Linked DNA regions of Macaca fascicularis. The main gene of each other region encodes a partner of the protein of the gene in region 3 in a complex. Links are inferred from orthologs where the notes say so. Each region holds a gene or a part of one and is shown on either strand. Other genes may lie near its edges. The genes, in order: CETN3, E3 SUMO-protein ligase RanBP2, NUP107, NUP214 and NUP153.

Region 1 (4,465 bases), on a different chromosome or scaffold from region 3:
AACAAAAAACAGTGGGAAAAGAGAGCTAAAGAGGACTGCAAGATTGAGAAAGCTAGACTTACAGGCCTATTAATTGTTTTTATACATTCTATACTGTCACTGCATAGTTCGTATCCCTACTTGGAATTCTAATGCTTAAAAATCCCTTAAGAAATTACAAAAATTAAAACTATCAAATAAACACTTACATTCACCTATCCATTAAGGCTATTAAAAATCTCAAAATACTATCTTTCCCACTGTGCTGAAAGTAAGTCCCACTCAACCCTAAACCCAAATCTCTCCTTATACCCTGACAAATAATAATTTACAAATCCCTCTCTACACCTTGACATTCTAGGTCTTAAAGTTGACATTTTTACCTACTAGCATGTGTCAACATCAAACAGCACTGAAGTTGTCTGTACCACAGAAAGTGGATTGAGACTATGTTACTAACAAATACAAATTATAAGATTAAAAGACAACAATCCCACAATCTGAAAACAGTATGAGTCACCAAGAAACAAAAACAAAAACAAAAAAAACAGTGAAAAGAATATGGTAATAGTTTAAATTCCAGTTTGAAATCCTTTAATTATGTCAGTGAAAAATAAGCACCTTCCCTAGGAATGTATTGTTACATTTAAAATGCTATTCGTTTTATCACGTGAAAAAGATTTTCTAAAAACTGTGTTAGGAGTTCTATTCAGTATTATTATAGAATCTAACTATGAATGCTTAAAATGCCTTCATAGTTCCAAAACCAATTTAGTTAAAATAATTACTTAGAAATGTAATGTAAAGCAACTGTCAAAATGCAAATCATTTTAACACAGAAACAAGTATTTTAAAGTATACCATTACCTTTAATTCATGATAATCTATTGCTTCATCTTTGTCTGTATCAAATAGTTCAAAAGCATCTTTAATTTCTTGTTTCTGTTCCTCAGACAGTTCTCTTCTTTTTTTCCTCTTTGTTTTGTCTACTACAAGCTCACTTCTATGAAATGGAAAGAAAAAGCCCTTAGTCCACTTTAATTCTCTTTACTAACAGAAATTAGCCAATAATTATTTTCTAAATTTCAAAAAAGAAAGTACTTTGGAGAAAGACAGGGAAACTTTCCCTTTATGAGTCAATGCCCTGTTTATTCCATAGTCTAAATTGCTATAAATATGAACTTCCCAAAACTAAAGAGTGTTACAGATTATTAAAAGAAATGAGGACCAAACTTTTCCTTTTCCCAGCTTTTTATTTATTCCCACTTTCCCTAACTTTTTATTTATTCAAGAACTGTGAATAAGCAACATTACGTTTATGTCTGAAACTCCAACCAACTCCAACCAAAAAAAAAACAAAAACACTCACATTATTCTACAAGAATGTTAAAGAAACCAAAAAATCTCCAAATGAAACCAAAATTCGTAACTGACAATCACCATATATCGGTTTACTTTTGATAGTTCTGATAATTAAGTTCATAAAATTACTACAAAAAATACAACTGGATTAACTTATATTTTGGGACTGTTGGTTCAAAATGTTTTTAGATTACACGTTTCTAACAGTTTGGCAATTTATGTGTCATTTCCTCCACTGATATTAACAAATCACCCAAAATATTAATGAGTCTAAACATATGACAAATATTAGATGTCAAAAAAGTATACAATATTTGTGCTTCATAAGTCTTATCTCACTTAAGATGTAAACTGGAGGTTAAACTTCTCATAAACTCTGGAAACGCTTAAAGAAAAAAGCAAAAATTACTTTAAAGCCAGAAATGTTTTCCGTAAGAGCTGCCCATCTAAATGTGCTCCAAGTTTTCCAATGGAGCCGCAACACTGGTATAAGAACAAGTTTTGAAACACACAATCTGGTAACACATTAACATGTCAAAACCAGTTGACTGTATTTAAAACACGTATCTAGCTGCATTTGAAAGTCGTTTTGGTCTCTGAACGCTACAAAAAAAAAAAAAAAAAGGCTAGGAAGTGACCAGTAGATGCAGTATGACAAAGCTGAGGAAGATCTTCCTTTCATGAGACCTGACTTGACACAAACTTGGGTATTCCTGGGGTCAGTCTTTTCCTTCCTGAGACTTTTAGAGGCCAAGTCCAGAACCGACCCACCCCTGACCCCATCCAAGGGTACCATGATTATCCCTTAGCAGAACATGGAACATTTTTAGAGTGTCCTAAGTATATGTATAGTTTTACGGTACAACGTCTACGTAGGGGGAGCGGGTAACAGACAGAGGGTTAGAGGTTAGAACTGAAAGGTAAAGAAATGAAAGAAACAGGAAATCCAAGAGACAGTTTGCCAATTAGTCACTAAAATGGGTTTCTAATTACACCGTAAAGCAGGACCTTGGGAGAATAGCAAAGAGTTTTTTGTTATTTCCAAAATTTATAGGTGGATGATTGCATCAGCAGCAGAGCAGCGGAGGTGGGGCCCTGGCCAGGCATACGAATTGAATGAAGGGATGTTCCGCGGCCTGATCTCTCAGAGCAACAGAGTAGAAGCCTCGCGATATTTCATTCCCTCCCCCTCGCTCGCAACTAAGCCCATTTTTTTGGTAGTCCAAAGCCCTACGCGCTGACAGAAATAACCTCCTTAGTAGAAATGCACTGGAAGTCTCGTTCCCTGCAGGGCACCAGAGCCCAGAGGGTGAGTGATCCAGACAGGCTGCCCTAGGCTCCTTTCCCGCATCCCAAACAGCATCCCCTGCCTCGCCACGGCCCCAAACGGCCTCCCTTCCACACACACCCTCCCTAGGTCCCGCTCCGGGGTGTGGAGAGCACTGCCGCCTCCTTATTACCGACCTCAGAGCTAAACTCATTATCTCTTCGGATAGAGTCGTTCCTCTCAAGAAACGATTTTAACCCCCTACCCAAAGCAGCAAGACTCCCACAACCGTTCAACAGACACGAACGACCTCAGCGGCCTCAGGGACCTCCCACAACATAGACACTTTTGAGCTGGATTGGTTGAAATGTCGCTATGGTTCTGCCCATTATGGCGGAAGCTTTACCAATTTTATTTTCATTGGGTACGCTTTACGTCAATCAAGAAAAAAAAAAAACCTCTCTCTCCCCGCCCCCCCCCCCCCCCGCCACCCACCCCGCCCCTCCATTCCTAGGGCCGCTCTCGCCCTTCGGATTGGCCTGATGCCTTTTTCCCCGAATCCTTTGCGGGTCCGGCCTCCGATCCCTGTGTGGTGGTTTGCGTGGTGGGTGCTCCTAGTCTCTCGCGTATTGTCCTGCGGTCTGTGGGCCGACGTTCGAAAACTAGATGGATAACTTGGACGGTGGGAAGGGAAGGGACACGCTGCAGGCCACCCTCCGGCTAGAAGGAGGCAGTAGTTGAGGAACAAGGTCTGCGAAGCGTGGCTGTGCTCTGTTCTAAAACTTTGGATGGCTTCAGTACCTGGGGAATGTGTTTAAAATGCAGACTTAAATGCCCCTTTCTCCATTCTAATTTCAGTAGGTATGAATCTGCGTTTGTATTCCTCACAAGCCTTCCAAGTGATTCTGAGGCAGGTGCTGTGACTATACTTGGATTATCACAGGGTTAGATTATCAGGCTATTTATGGTGATGCTGTATCTAAACCGCCCTTCCCTCTCCTTTTCCTCCTTTGAACTGTTTGAAACGGATTTGTTGGCTTCTGTCTCTTATTTTACGGTGCTGTAAATTGTTAATACACGTGAGACTGTATTCACTACCAAACCAAGTCTCCTAAAGCTCACTTGAATGTCTACTTATTCGTCTCCCTTACCAGGTTCAATTTCTTGAAGGCCGTGATTATATCTATTTAACGCTTTTCCTTGTACCTAATAAAATGTCTGGTGCATAGGTGCTCGGTAAATTGAGTGGAATCTTTTGAAAACCCACAAAATACTGAGCTAAACAGCAAATCTCATAAACGGGAATAAAATAGCCTGAGAATGGGAGTTGAAGGCGGAGAATATGTAAACATATGTTTAAGGGATGTATATAAAATTTTAGAGAAGGGAGAGAGCACAAGATAGGCTTCCTAAAGAGGTGGCATAAACGTTAGACCTACAAGGATGGGCTAAATTTGCACAAGTAAAGATAGTATGATAGAACAAGCTAAAAATTAGCTAAGGGATAGCACCCCTAAAAAACAAAAGCGGAACTTTTATTTTGTTCGTATTTTAAATTTTAAAGTACCTTTATAAATCACCTTTGAGTCTAAAAGGAAAGAGAAATTGTAATTACTAGAACATAGTGATATTGAAAAAAACTATATGTTAACATTTTAAGACACAGACCAAACTATAGGAGAACATTATTTTAAATAAGAAATAATAAAAATAGACCAGGCATTTATTTGAAGATGTTAGAAATGAAGAACAAAATTGTATAATTGAAATTAGGAAGAGGAAATTAGTAAAGTTTGAGAACAACGTTTTAAAAGGAAACTGGTCAAATTGATAAAGTGCTCATAGTCTGGTATAAAG
Region 2 (3,881 bases), on a different chromosome or scaffold from region 3:
TCCTTCATCATTCTGTTTTAACAGAAATAGAACTACAATGCCCTTGCTGACCCACTATGTGGTAAGTACTTTCAGGCCTGATACAGCTATATATATAACAATTGATTGAAGACTCAAAATTACAGTGGTAGTTGAATGTGATAGCTTTGAGGACAGAGTGATGGGGTGCATTTAGACCCTTGCTCTTCTGCTTATTTTGACCACAGGCAAGTTTCTTAACCTCTCAATGCATCAGTTGCCTCATATGTAAAATGAGGATAATAATAATACCTTAATTCATAGGGTTTTTGAGGATATTAAAATGAGATAATAATGTAAAGTGCTTAGAATAGTGCCCAGCTGGCACATTAATAAATGCTCAATAAATGTTACCATCATCATCATCATCATCATTATTAACATCATTTGATAAATTGTTTAGGAATGAAGATGGTATTTATTTTATGACTTTAGTTGTAGATTTTAAGATGCTGTAATTAATTTTCATTATATGCCAAGTATATATGCAAGTATCTTTGTAGCAATGTGGTTTTCTCTTAACCTATTTATGCCTAGTGTTCCATTATTGGAACACTAAGCTTTTGGGAGTTATTTATATCTTACTGCTCAGGGTCATTGCCAAGGTCTGATTTTTCACACAGAAAATTTGCAGCCTCTGGCATAAACGGGTTAATGATGTGTACTACATCCCCTAATGATATCTTCTTCACTTAATATTCATGTTTGAAGTTTGTGAGAATTGGTTTGCATTTAGTTATCTGTAGTTTTGTAGACAATCTACAAAATGTTTTAACTTTCTGTCTTCTAGGGCCCAGTCTATGGCATGAATAGGCTTCCACCCCAACAGCATATTTATGCCTATCCGCAACAGATGCACACACCACCAGTGCAAAGCTCATCTGCTTGTATGTTCTCTCAGGAGATGTATGGTCCTCCTGCATTGCGTTTTGAGTCTCCTGCAACAGGAATTCTATCGCCCAGGGGTGATGATTACTTTAATTACAATGTTCAGCAGACAAGCACAAATCCACCTTTGCCAGAACCAGGATATTTCACAAAACCTCCAATTGCAGCTCATGCTTCAAGATCTGCAGAATCTAAGACTATAGAATTTGGGAAAACTAATTTTGTTCAGCCCATGCCAGGTGAAGGAATAAGGCCATCTTTGCCAACACCAGCACACACAACACAGCCACCTCCTTTTAAATTTAACTCAAATTTCAAATCAAATGATGGTGACTTCACATTTTCCTCACCACAGGTTGTGACACAGCCCCCTCCTGCAGCTTACAGTAACAGTGAAAGCCTTTTAGGTCTCCTGACTTCAGATAAACCCTTGCAAGGAGATGGCTATAGTGGACCCAAACCAGTTCCTGGTGGTCAGACCATTGGGCCTCGAAATACATTCAATTTTGGAAGCAAAAATGTGTCTGGAATTTCGTTTACAGAAAACATGGGGTCAGCTCAGCAAAAGAATTCTGGTTTTCGGCGAAGTGATGATATGTTTACTTTCCGTGGTCCAGGGAAATCAGTATTTGGAACACCCACTTTAGAGACAGCAAACAAGAACCATGAGACAGATGGAGGAAGTGCCCATGGGGATGATGATGATGATGGTCCTCACTTTGAGCCTGTAGTACCTCTTCCTGATAAGATTGAAGTAAAAACTGGTGAGGAAGATGAAGAAGAATTCTTTTGCAACCGTGCGAAATTGTTCCGTTTTGATGTAGAATCCAAAGAATGGAAGGAACGTGGGATTGGCAATGTAAAAATACTGAGGCATAAAACATCTGGTAAAATTCGCCTTCTAATGAGACGAGAGCAAGTGTTGAAAATCTGTGCAAATCATTATATCAGTCCAGATATGAAATTGACACCAAATGCTGGATCAGACAGATCTTTTGTCTGGCATGCCCTTGATTATGCAGATGAGTTGCCAAAACCAGAACAACTTGCTATTAGGTTCAAAACTCCTGAGGAAGCAGCACTTTTTAAGTGCAAGTTTGAAGAAGCCCAGAGCATTTTAAAAGCCCCAGGAACAAATGTAGCCACAGCATCAAATCAGGCTATCAGAATTGTAAAAGAACCCACAAGTCATGATAACAAGGATATTTGCAAATCTGATGCTGGAAACATGAATTTTGAATTTCAAGTTGGAAAGAAAGAAGGGTCTTGGTGGCATTGTAACAGCTGCTCATTAAAGAATGCTGCAACTGCTAAGAAATGTGTATCATGCCAAAATCTAAACCCAAGCAATAAAGAACTCGTTGGCCCACCATTATCTGAAACTGTTTTTACTCCTAAAACTGGCCCAGAGAATATTCAAGATCGATTTGCATTGATGACTCCAAAGAAAGAAGGTCACTGGGATTGTAGTATTTGTTTAGTAAGAAATGAACCTACTGTATCTAGGTGCATTGCGTGTCAGAACACAAAATCTGCTAACAAAAGTGGATCTTCATTTGTTCATCAGGCTTCATTTACATTTGGCCAGGGAGATCTTCCTAAACCTGTTAACAGTGACTTCAGATCTGTTTTTTCTACAAAGGAAGGACAGTGGGAGTGCAGTGTATGTTTGGTACAAAATGAGGGGAGCTCTACAAAATGTGCTGCTTGTCTGAATCCGAGAAAACAGAGTCTACCTGCTACTGCTATTCCAACACCTGCCTCTTTTAAGTTTGGTACTTCAGAGACAAGTAAAACTCCAAAAAGTGGATTTGAGGACATGTTTGCTAAGAAGGAAGGACAGTGGGATTGCAGTTCATGCTTAGTGCGAAATGAAGCAAATGCTACAAGATGTGTTGCTTGTCAGAATCCAGATAAACCAAGTCCATCTACTTCTGTTTCAGCTCCTGCCTCTTTTAAGTTTGGTACTTCAGAGACAAGCAAGGCTCCAAAGAGCGGATTTGAGGGAATGTTCACTAAGAAGGAAGGACAATGGGATTGTAGTGTGTGCTTAGTAAGAAATGAAGCCAGTGCCACCAAATGTATTGCGTGTCAGAATCCAGGTAAACAAAATCAAACTGCTTCTGCAATTTCAACACCTGCCTCTTCAGAGACAAGCAAGGCTCCAAAGAGCGGATTTGAGGGAATGTTCACTAAGAAGGAAGGACAATGGGATTGCAGTGTGTGCTTACTAAGAAATGAAGCCAGTGCTACCAAATGTATTGCTTGTCAGAATCCAGGTAAACAAAATCAGACTACTACTGCAATTTCAACACCTGCCTCTTCAGAGACAAGCAAGGCTCCAAAGAGTGGATTTGAGGGAATGTTCACTAAGAAGGAAGGACAGTGGGATTGCAGTATGTGCTTAGTAAGAAATGAAGCCAGTACTACCAAATGTATTGCTTGTCAGTATCCAAGTAAACAAAATCAAACAACTGCAATTTCAACACCTACCTCTTCGGAGGTAAGCAAGGCTCCAAAGAGTGGATTTGAAGGAATGTTCATCAAGAAAGGACAGTGGGATTGTAGTGTTTGCTGTGTACAAAATGAGAGTTCTTCCTTAACATGTGTGGCTTGTGATGCCTCTAAACCAACTCATAAACCTATTGCAGAAGCTCCTTCAGCTTTCACATTGGGCTCAGAAATGAAGTTGCATGACTCTTCTGGAAGTCAGGTGGGAACAGGATTTAAAAGTAATTTCTCAGAAAAAGCTTTTAAGTTTGGCAATACAGAGCAAGGATTCAAATTTGGGCATGTGGATCAAGAAAATTCACCTTCATTTATGTTTCAGGGTTCTTCTAATACAGAATTTAAGTCAACCAAAGAAGGATTTTCCATCCCTGTGTCTGCTGATGGATTTAAATTTGGCATTTCGGAACCAGGGAATCAAGAAAAGAAAAGTGAAAAGCCTCTTGAAAATGATTCTGGCTTCCAGG
Region 3 (2,837 bases):
TCCATTAGGCTTTTCAAAGGAGCAGTTATTATTTTAGCTTATCCTGTTTTTATGTTTTTTGTTTTTTCTGCACTATTAGTGCTATTGATTTCCTTTCTGTTTTTAAGATTATTTCAGAAATTGTAGTGTGTCATTCCTGTAATCCCAGCACTTTGGGAGGCTCAGGCAGGAGAATCACTTGAGCCCAAGAGTTTGATACCAGCTTGGGCAACATAGGGAGACCCCATCTCTGCAAATAATAAAATTATTATTTTTTTAAAATAAAAAAATTAGCCAGGCATGGTGGCACATGCCTGTGGTTCTTAGCTACTTGGGAGGCTGAAGTAGGAGGATCACTTGAGCGCGGAGATCAAGGCTTCAGAGAGCCATGATTGTACCACTGCATTCCAGACTGGGCAACAGAGAGAGACACTGTCTCAAAAAAGAAGAAAAAGGTAAAAAAAGAAAAGAAAAAAAAAAAAAAAAAATTATGTGTTTGGTTACTTTTTAATTATTTTAATTTTCAAATTTGTTGTAAGTAAATGTAGTGGGCATAAGAGGTTTACTCTTTTTTCTGTACTTTTACTGTTCACATCGATTTTAAGAAAGATCCATGTATGTATAAAGGAATGACAATTGTTTTTCCTACTTGTTTTCCTCATATATCTGTTCTGACTCATTAATTGTATTATTCAAGTCTATAGGTTCTGTTTTTCTGTTTTTAAAAACTATATGAAGAAATCATAAATTCCATTTTCCTTGTTTATAAGAAAAGTAGTCTGCAGTGAAGTTGACCCTCCCTGTGTGCCCCTCCCCATATCCTCTTTTTTCCAGCAACAGTCATTGCTGTCAGTCTGGTGTGTCCTCTCAGGCCTCCTTAGAGCTATCTTGATTTATCTGTGTGAACATCCAAGGGAGTGGTGATTGTTTTCTGTTCTGATTTTTGCTCTAATGATATTCAGTTTCTAACTCATTCTTTTTATGCATGTTTTTATTCAGGACACAGTAAGTTTATTAGAAATACAAATGCAGAAGCATTTTATTTTCACTGTCATACCTCTGACCTCTCTGTAGTCTACTTTATTCATCTTCATACTTTTTTGCTGTTAAATCTTATCTACCAATTACATTCTGGATTTGATTCAGTACTTAGCTTTTCTTTTTGTAAGGATCTTTAGCTTAAATTGTTAAAATGATTTATTGATGTCTGTTTGTAGGATGCTGAAGAAGACCATGAAAGAACACATCAAATGGTTTTACTGAGAAAGCTTTGTCTGCCAATGTTGTGTTTTCTGCTTCATACAATATTGCACAGTACTGGTCAGTATCAGGAATGCCTACAGTTAGCAGATATGGTATCCTCTGAGCGCCACAAACTGTACCTGGTAAGTTCTAGAGCATTGTAGTTTTAAATTTTAATGATTTGATATGCGCTGTAGTAATATTTTGTGAAGATGTGTTTACATTTGTAATTGTTCTTGGATTTTCTTAAAGTAATAGTCCTGTTTTAATGTTTGTGCTTTTTTCCCAAAATGTGTATATATTTGTAAGCAGTTAGAAATATATAGACTGACTCTGAGAATTCGCCTTGAAATTCCTGAACCACTCTAATTTACTAGCCTTTGGCTACATAAATCTTAAAGAGGAATTTCTTCTTATATGAAGCTAATCAGATTGATTAGCTAACTAAGTTCATACTTGTCTTTGTTCTCATTCTTATTTCTCTTTTTAAAAATCAGGTATTTTCTAAGGAAGAGCTAAGGAAGTTGCTGCAGAAGCTAAGAGAGTCCTCTCTAATGCTCCTAGACCAGGGACTTGACCCATTAGGGTATGAAATTCAGTTATAGTTTAATCTTTGTAATCTCACTAATTTTCATGATAAATGAAGTTTTTAATAAAATATACTTGTTATTAATTTTTTCTTTTGCATTGCCATGTAAAATTTAGACATTTGAATTTTGTACATTTCAGAATATTATCGTGACACTTTGAACATGTAATGTATATATATCAGCGTTTCTCTGTATGCTTATTAATAAAACTATATAAAAACTAAAATTTTTGTTTTTACAAATTCGAGGATTGTCTCTTTATGAGAAAATTAAATTTTCTATTCTAGTTTTTTCTGTAATCATAAGCATTCTGAAATTTTAAAATCATAAAGATGGGCCAGGCGTGGTGGCTCAAGCCTGTAATCCCAGCACTTTGGGAGGCCGAGACGGGCCGATCATGAGGTCAGGAGATCAAGACCATCCTGGCTAACACGGTGAAACCCCGTCTCTACTAAAAAATACAAAAAACTAGCCAGGCGAGGTGGTGGGCGCCTGTAGTCCCAGCTACTCGGGAGGCTGAGGAAGGAGAATGGGGTAAACCCAGGAGGCGGAGCTTACAGTGAGCTGAGATCTGGCCACTGCACTCCAGCCTGGGCGACAGAGCCAGACTCCGTCTCAAAAAAATAAAAAATAAAATAAAATCATAAAGATGATGGAAAGTAGATTTATTTTTAAGCCAGGTAAGTAATTTTTTATAAAATGTAGTATTTTTTGAATATTAAAAGTAAGACTATAACAAGAATGTTTTCTAACATAACATGCTATTATTATTTTAGTTATTTTGAAGACATTTCTAGTTTAGCTTTCATTTAGCAAACTTCCTATCAAAACAAGAGCATATAAAGACTTAGCATAGTACCTGGCACATAGTAAGCACTGAATACATTGGAGATTACAAATCCAGCTCTTCTAATAGGGGAAATACCATAAGTACATTTAAAAGGTGTCATTAAAAAATACAAGTAGTGGCTGGGTGCAGTGGCTCACGTCTGTAACCCCAGCACTTCGGGAGGCCAAGGCAGGCGG
Region 4 (4,361 bases), on a different chromosome or scaffold from region 3:
GACATCATGCACACAGAGAGTGTGAGGTTATCACAGCTCAAGGCCAGGTGATGGATTGGGAATTTCATAGGAACTAGTAAGCCTTGGACTTTATCAACTATAAAAACAAAAAAATATAAAGCAGAAAACAGTATGTTCTAAGCATAAAGCCACAACCTCTATCCAGTTCAATGTGAAAAAATTTTTGCATCTACATAAACACACATACACCCCAATACCTAGTTATACAGATAAATCTTTACTTTCTTAAGAGCTATAATCATGCATTAAGTATCCCAGGAATTCTTCCTCATACTATCTGGGGAAACTAACTGTGGCTGTTGCCCTTGTTGAAAATATTTTTGCAACAATGCTCTAAATAGTACACATTGCCAATAGTTTGGATCGTACTGTTGTGCCAACTGAAAACCCATGCCAATAAAACCCTTCACCCAGAGAGCCAGAGCCCAAGTTCAACTGGGCAAGAATAAAAGTATGGCATAATGGTTAAGTTCTTCCCTCTTGAGCTGAGAAGAACAACTCATGTAAGGAAAAGTACAAAGGACCAAGGAGAAAACCTAGAAAGGCTTCCATTAATCTTCTTGGGAGTCAACCTTCAAACTGACAGCAGTGTTCATTTTAGTATTAGAATGACTTCTTGGGAAGGAAACACAAGAGCATGCCACCACACTCCTCTCTCTACTTTGCAACATAAACCACGGAACTTACCTATTTTATTGGGATCATCTCCGGGTTTATTTTGAATAAGAAGATTTTTAGTAGGAAAAATCTGCAAGCCACTGGCCCCACCAGCAAAGACCAGACCATATTTGTTGGACACAGCAAGCAGACTCGAGCGTTCCTTGGGCAATTCCTCAGGGGAGTCAAAGATTCTCACCTTCTTTAGCGCCCTAAACTGAAAATCCTGTTGTGAAGAATCAAAACAAGATCAATTCAATAAATAAAGAAATTAAAACAAGTTATATTCAGTAGACCCAATTTCAGTACAACAAAAATATATATTACTGAGAACACGGTCTGTCTCAGTTGTCTTTTTTTCTTTTTTGAGACGGAGTCTCGCTTTGTCGCCCAGGCTGGAGTGCAGTGGGCGATCTTGCTTCACTGTAACCTCTGCCTTCCAGGTTCAAGCAATTCTCCTGCCTCAGCCTCCCAAGTAGCTGGGACTACAGACGCCCACCACCATGCCCGGCTAATTTTTGTATTTTTAGTAGAGACAGGGTTTCATTATGTTGGCCAGGCTGGTCTCGAACTCCGGACCTCAAGTCACCCATCCGCCTCAGCCTCCCAAAGTGCAGGCTCACAGGCGTGAGCCACTCCGCTCGGCCTTCAATGTTTTCTGACATGGAACACTTCACGAATTTGTGTGTCATCCATGTAAAGGGGCCATGCTAGTCTTCTCTGCATGATCCCAATTTTATATGTGCTGCCAAAGGGAGTCTGAGATTACCATCTTCTAAGTCTGTGATTCTATTAATAAACCCTTTTTTTCTTCTACCCCAGTATATCTGAGGAATATGACACAATCCCATTAGGTGGCTCACCACAGGTGGTGATTCTCAAAAAATAATCACTATTCTAGGCCGACACGGTGGCTCACACCTGTAATCCCAGCACTTTGGGAGCCAGAGGAGGGCAGATCACTTGAGGTCAGGAGTTTGAGACCAGCCTGGCCAACATGGTGAAACCCCATCTCTACCAAAGAATATAAAAAATTAGTCAGGCATGGTGGCAGGTGCCTGTAATCCCAGTTACTCGGGAGGCTGAGGCAGGCGAATCGCTTGAGCTGGGGAGGTGGAGGTTGCAGCGAGCCGAGATCATGCCACTGCACTCCAGCCTGGGTGACAGAGCGAGACTATGTCTTAAAAAAAAAAAAAAAAAAAAAGGCCGGGCGCGGTGGCTCAAGCCTGTAATCCCAGCACTTTGGGAGGCCGAGACGGGCGGATCACGAGGTCAGGAGATCGAGACCATCCTGGCTAACACGGTGAAACCCCGTCTCTACTAAAAAATACAAAAAATTAGCCGGGCGCGGTGGCGGGCGCCTGTAGTCCCAGCTACTCGGGAGGCTGAGGCAGGAGAATGGCGTGAACCCAGGAGGCGGAGCTTGCAGTGAGCTGAGATCCGGCCACTGCACTCCAGCCCGGGCGACAGAGCGAGACTCTGTCTCAAAAAAAAAAAAAAAAAAAAAAAAAAAAAAATCACTATTCTAAACAGGGTATGTATTACTATGCCCTACATGCATGTTAGTGATTTACTGTTCACACAGATGACTAAAATCTTCCTGCATCTTACTTCCTTTCACTATTTAAAACAGATGTAGGCCGTTTGCTGCACCCTCATTCTGTCAGAACACATATAAGAACTATTAAACACACCATCCTGAAGTTATCCCTGGGGGACTCCCACGTTGCCATCACTGGAAACACTTAGCCCTCCCTTTAGGTTCCTGGTTTGAGGCTGATACACCGATATCAAAACAGTCTTCCTAGTTCAGTCAACTAAAGGTTCTGCAGGATGGATGACCTCCCCTGACTCTACGTTAGGCAAGCCCGTACCGCCTTACAGAAATACTGGCAGAGCGAAGGTCTTAAATGATGCTGGCTTTCAGCCCCGCTGTCAAATGTGACTTTAGGGAAATCACTTTCCGAGCCTCGACTCACTCCTCTACGTTAATAACCACTTCGTAGGGCTGCTGCGATGACTACACAGCGACTGGCACACAGTCAACGCTCCATACACAGCAGTTATTGCCACTATTGTGACCGCCACATGAAACTAGCTAGGGTAACTCAAGAGACGTGCACGAGACCAGGATGGGACTGGGAAACTGCATTCGGTGGGGCTATCACGCCAGCGGCGCGGCAGACGCGCAGCTGAGAGCGGTGAACGCGGTAGTCTGTTCAAGCAGGAGACGGGACAGCCGGCACCGCGCTTCGCCTTTCAGCTGGGCTCCAAGGCAACGCCAGGACTAAAGAAGGGAGGGAGGCCCCAGTTAGTCTCTGACCTTCATCTCCCGCTCGGGAATCATGGCATCCATCTCGTCTCCCATCGCGCCGCCCTCGGTGTGTCGAAGCAGCCAACGCTGCCTCCCACGGCCTTGCCCACAGAACCTAGGCCGCTGGACTGCAAACTTCCTTCCCTCAGCGCCAGGGGCGCGCAGTTGATCTCGCATTTCCGGCGCGCGTTGGTGACGTCAAGCTTGGCCGGGGAGGCAGCGGAACCTAAAGAAGCCGCGCGTTCTCCCGGCCGCCGCTCCCCATTGGCCAACTCGTGCTGAATAGGGGCGTGGCCGTGGGGCCCCGGCGCCTGCGCCCTGGATCGTCCTGGTGCCGCTCCCGCCTTCGCAGACAGCGCGGGTTCGCTTAGTGTCAATCTGTCTTCTTGGGTGGCCCACGTCTAAGCGACCTATGCTCCTTGTTCCTCTGACACCTTACAGTTCCTCTTAGATGTAGGTTGGCTATTAGTAGCTTCCGATTCAGATAAGTTAGGAACTTGACAGATGTTTTCGGTGGGCTACTTTAGAGAGAGGCTTTGGGCTATGCAAGGGGAGGAAGGGAGGTTCAGAAAAACGGGGTCGGGGGATCGCCAGTGTGGAAGGTGGAAGGCTGGAAGGGGAGATTAAAGGGCACGGAAGACCAGCTTTGTTTGCTCTTATCAAGGTGATCATTTCCAGAGCAAGAGCCATATGCATCTCTAGTTGCACGAGTTTGTGCCACGTCCTTTGCAAAAACCTTCAGATGTGGGATCTCATGTAATCTTGAAGACTTCTAGTCATCCTAGGGGTTATTATTTAATTGATGAGGTAGGCCAGGCGCCGGTGGCTCACGCCTATAATCCCAGCACTTGGGAGGCCGAGACAGGAGGATTGCTTGAGCCCAGGAGTTTGAGACCAGCCTGGGCAACATGGCGAGACCCCGTCTCTACAAAAAACAACAAAACAAAACCACAAAAATTAACCAGCAGTGATGGCATGCGCATGTAGTCTCAGCACACTCAGGAGGCTGAGATGGGAGAATTGCTTGAGCCCAGGAGGTCGAGGCTGCAGTAAGCTGTGATTGTACCACTGCACTCCAGCCTGGGTAACAGAGCCACACCCTGCCTCAAAAAATAAAAATGGGCTGGGCGCGGTGGCTCACACCTGTACGCAGCACTTTGGGAGGTTGAGGTAGGTGGAACACCTGTCAGGAGCTGGAGACCAGCCTGGCAAACATGGTGAAACCCCACCTCTGCTAAAAATACAATTAGCCGGGCGTGGTGGTGGACGCCTGTGGTCCCAGCTACACAGGAGGCTGAGGTAGGAGAATGGCATGAACCCGAGAGGTGGAGGTTGCAGTGAGCTAAGATTGCGCCACTGCACTCCAGCC
Region 5 (3,881 bases), on a different chromosome or scaffold from region 3:
CAGAACTCTTTGGGAAGGAACCTAGGATTTTCAGTTTGAACCACTCTTTAAAACCCTCATGATTCTGATGAAGTCATCTGTGGATCTAATTTTGAGAAATACGGCAGTAATGCAAAGCTCAATATAGTGCATATTTATGTGTGTCTTTCTCTTCTGTTTGGGCTTTTATAATCAGAATTGGTATCTACTACCTGGAAAATAAGGATTCTTAGCTTATGAAATATTTTCTACCATAATCTATGGTATTGTTTATAAATAGTTACAGATAACCAGTCCTCATCAGACATTAAGAAACATAGACAACAAATATAATTAATCCTGAGAAACCAAGAGATTTTGAAAGCTGAAGTCCTGGGGGAAAAAAAATGACACAGCACCTTAAAGGTTAAAAGCATCATTGTTGGTGGATCATATTAAAGTCATTCTGTGGGCGGAATAGCAGGAAGAACATAGCTGATCATCAGATTAGTGAACTAGAATTTCCCTGAACTTAGTGCACAAGTACAAAGAGTGATCCAAGTTAGATCCACAAGTTCCTCTGGAACAGGAGTGACCTAGAAGATAAGAAGTTTTGGGGGAATATCAAAGAAGTGACAGAAGAAAATTTTCTAGATCTAAAGAAAGACATTGGTCTTAAAAATGGAAATTACCTATTGGCAAAGATCACTGAAATTTAGGACACCAAAGCTAAAACCCCAAATGCTTTCAGAGAGAAAAGCTATTTGCCACAAATAGGAAGATACCAGATTAGCATCATCTTCTAATTTGCAACATCACATGCTAAAAACAGAACAGTACCCTCAAAATGAAAATGTTCTTGAACCTAGAATTCTGTTACTAGCCAAATGTGTTTAAGTATAAAGACAGTCCGGGTGCCGTAGCTCACACCTGTAATCCCAACTAGTCAGGAGGCTGAAGCACAAGAATTTCTTGAACCTGGGAGGCAGAGGTTGCAGTGAGCTGAGATTGGCCACTGCACTCCAGCTTGGGCAACAGAACGAGCCTCTGTCTCAAGAAAACCCAACAACAACAACAAACACAGAGGCAAAATACAGGTGTTTTTAGATGTGCAAAAAGTGCAAAAGTTGAATATCCATGAATACTTTTGGATAATAAATTGGAAACACTCAAAATTAACTTTTATATGGAATTCAACAAATAACTATGAGCAGTTTTTTGTCTGTCATATATTTACTTAGAAATATAAAGATAAAATAAAAGCTAAAATTACATATTATTTGGAAAGCAACAGAAATATGATAGGGTCTAATCAGATTTGATGGTGAAACACCAGGCTGTGGTAGACACTCTTAACCATTCTTCCATTAGCCAGCTTGAAAGTGAGCCAACGTGTTCCATTTTCTGTAAGTCAGACTAATGCCGATAGCATACTGTGACCAGCCCTGCATAGTGTGAAGTATTGGAACTGAGAGATTATTGGAATAGTTTAGAAAAAAGTCTTCAATAAGGTGGCTGGATTCAGAATCATGATATAAAAATCAAAAGTTTTTCTTCAAATCGGCATATCTCATTTGTTTTTTTCTAACATTTCTAACTTGTATTTTATAAAAGCAGCAGAACTTTTAACATGCCAAATAATAACACAAAAGGCGTACTTGTTGCTGGGCAAAGATATTCCCTTCCTCCTCCCATAATTTTAGTTCTTAGGGGAATTTTTGTAGAGCTTGACAAGCTAAACTTACTCTAAAATTCACATGGAAAGGAAACTATACAAGAAATTTTGGGAAAAAAGGCAGGCACACAGGCAGCTTTGTTCTGCTATCATCAGTCCATGGTGTAAAGTTGGAATAATTAAAACAGTCTAGTGATAACGGTAGAGGAAACAAGTATATGCATTTTAGGAAATGTAGTGTGTCATAAAGACAACATTGCAAATTAGTGCACAAAGCCTGTACTAGTTGATGCTGTGGAGAAATTTGGCTATCCATTTAGATAAATTGAAGTTATGATTTTGCCACATACTGTAACATAAATTGCAAAATTAAATATATAAAAGTACAGCTATCTTCCGCTATCTAAACTTGCTATTCAACTACAGTATCCAGTTAGATTTGGATTCGAGGGGTATTTTTATTAACCTGAATGCCAAAGGCCTTCCTGTGAAAGGCGCAAAATCCATAAGCTATAAAAGAAGATGAATGTATTTGATTTTGTCAAAATCTAATATAAACAGATGTCCATTTGATGAATTAATCTATATAAAAAACTTAACCTACTTTTCTAGCGAATTTTAGGGTAGGAAAGTTCTGGTGATTGTAGGGTAAGGAAAAAGTACTTTCTGAGACTATTCTTAAGGATTTATGTTTGTTTCTTAATTTCTGTCTTACAGATCAAGGTGCAGCAAAGCCAGTTTTTAGTTTCTTGAACAACAATTCCTCTAGTTCAAGTACACCAGCCACTTCTGCTGGTGGTGGCATATTTGGTAGTTCCACCTCTTCCTCCAATCCACCCGTGGCTACCTTTGTGTTTGGACAGTCCAGCAATCCTGTGAGCAGCTCTGCCTTTGGTAACACTGCTGAATCCAGCACCTCTCAGTCTTTGCTATTTTCTCAAGATAGCAAACTAGCAACCACATCCAGCACAGGTACAGCTGTCACCCCATTTGTCTTTGGTCCAGGAGCCAGCAGTAATAATACTGCCACCTCTGGTTTCGGCTTTGGAGCCACGACCACGTCTAGCTCTGCAGGTACATTTACAAAAGAAAAAAATGCATTGCAATTGGATGGGCTTTACTTATTAGCAAATAACATATAGCAGGTTATCACAAAATGGTGTGAATGCCTTTTGGTCATCTATACCAGGGTTGTTGTAATTAATCACTGTATGTACAACTTTAACATATTTACCTCTTGGGAGCCATTTTTCTCATTGTGGTAAGAGTGTAATACTTAATTTTTCCAAGCTTTGTTTTTTGTTTTTGTTTTTTTTCTTTTGAGATGGAGGCTTGCTCTGTCACCCAGGCTGGAATGCAGTGGTGCGATCTCGGCTCACTGCAACCCTCCCTCTCCCTAGTTCAAGCAATTCTCCTGCCTCAGCCTCCCAAGTAACTGGGATTACAGGTGCCTGCCACCACACCTGGCTAATTTTTCTATTTTTAGCGGAGATGGGGTTTTACCATGTTGGCCAGGCTCAAACTTCTGACCTCGTGATCCGCCCACCTCGGCCTCCTAAAGTGCTGGGATTACAGGCGTGAGCCACTGTGCCCAGCCCCAAACTTTGTTTTTAAAATGTTAGGTTGTCAGTCACCAGACACTGGAAGTTGTTTTATTAAACATCAGTCTTTATTATGCAGTATGTGTATATATATGTATATATATATATATATATATATATATGCACATCATGAGGTGATTTCTGCACACATTAGATTTCTGGTGGGAGACTTTTCTGAGATATGTTCCTTTACCAAAAATTGTTGGCTGTGAAGGTATGGAGTAGTTGTTAATTGCAGTTTTTGTTTATATGAATTTAGTATGTTTCACTAAATAATGGTAGAGAGAGTTGTATTCTCAATCATTATTTAAAACTTGTCTTGATGGAATTTGGTTAACAAGGTAAGAGTCTGAAAAGAAGCTTGACATTTGCTTGTGGGTTTTCAGAAATTTCTTGAGGATAATCTGACATTAGCCACCATGGCGACTTAAGTGTGTCTTTGGGCCTCCAGGATCCTCCTTCGTATTTGGAACTGGACCTTCAGCACCATCTGCCAGTCCAGCATTTGGTGCTAACCAGACCCCAACATTTGGACAAAGTCAAGGTGCCAGCCAGCCCAATCCCCCAGGCTTTGGATCTATATCATCTTCCACAGCATTATTTTCCAGTGGTTCTCAGCCTGCACCACCTACTTTTGGGACAGTGTC

Evidence for each region.
Region 1: NUP107 (region 3) and CETN3 share a complex: the UniProt entries of both Homo sapiens proteins name them as parts of the nuclear pore complex. The link is inferred for Macaca fascicularis from reciprocal best matches to the Homo sapiens genes NUP107 and CETN3.
Region 2: NUP107 (region 3) and E3 SUMO-protein ligase RanBP2 share a complex: the UniProt entries of both Homo sapiens proteins name them as parts of the nuclear pore complex. The link is inferred for Macaca fascicularis from reciprocal best matches to the Homo sapiens genes NUP107 and RANBP2.
Region 4: NUP107 (region 3) and NUP214 share a complex: the UniProt entries of both Homo sapiens proteins name them as parts of the nuclear pore complex. The link is inferred for Macaca fascicularis from reciprocal best matches to the Homo sapiens genes NUP107 and NUP214.
Region 5: NUP107 (region 3) and NUP153 share a complex: the UniProt entries of both Homo sapiens proteins name them as parts of the nuclear pore complex. The link is inferred for Macaca fascicularis from reciprocal best matches to the Homo sapiens genes NUP107 and NUP153.

The regions. Positions count from the first base shown.
Region 1 is NC_088380.1:94,405,466-94,409,930, forward strand, and holds the start of CETN3 (centrin-3), read right to left. Parts: upstream 2,949-4,465; 5' UTR 2,823-2,948; coding exon 2,806-2,822; intron 983-2,805; coding exon 847-982; intron 1-846. UniProt on the Homo sapiens protein: Plays a fundamental role in microtubule-organizing center structure and function. As a component of the TREX-2 complex, involved in the export of mRNAs to the cytoplasm through the nuclear pores.
Region 2 is NC_088387.1:16,258,017-16,261,897, forward strand, and holds part of E3 SUMO-protein ligase RanBP2, read left to right. Parts: intron 1-808; coding exon 809-3,881. UniProt on the Homo sapiens protein: E3 SUMO-protein ligase which facilitates SUMO1 and SUMO2 conjugation by UBE2I. Involved in transport factor (Ran-GTP, karyopherin)-mediated protein import via the F-G repeat-containing domain which acts as a docking site for substrates.
Region 3 is NC_088385.1:75,503,668-75,506,504, forward strand, and holds the end of NUP107 (nuclear pore complex protein Nup107), read left to right. Parts: intron 1-1,196; coding exon 1,197-1,364; intron 1,365-1,718; coding exon 1,719-1,826; 3' UTR 1,827-2,037; downstream 2,038-2,837. UniProt on the Homo sapiens protein: Plays a role in the nuclear pore complex (NPC) assembly and/or maintenance. Required for the assembly of peripheral proteins into the NPC. May anchor NUP62 to the NPC. Involved in nephrogenesis.
Region 4 is NC_088389.1:12,731,016-12,735,376, forward strand, and holds the start of NUP214 (nuclear pore complex protein Nup214), read right to left. Parts: upstream 3,166-4,361; 5' UTR 3,047-3,165; coding exon 3,002-3,046; intron 1,438-3,001; exon of another isoform or gene 1,336-1,437; intron 905-1,335; coding exon 709-904; intron 98-708; coding exon 1-97. UniProt on the Homo sapiens protein: Part of the nuclear pore complex. Has a critical role in nucleocytoplasmic transport.
Region 5 is NC_088378.1:155,267,412-155,271,292, forward strand, and holds part of NUP153 (nuclear pore complex protein Nup153), read left to right. Parts: intron 1-2,350; coding exon 2,351-2,707; intron 2,708-3,685; coding exon 3,686-3,881. UniProt on the Homo sapiens protein: Component of the nuclear pore complex (NPC), a complex required for the trafficking across the nuclear envelope. Functions as a scaffolding element in the nuclear phase of the NPC essential for normal nucleocytoplasmic transport of proteins and mRNAs.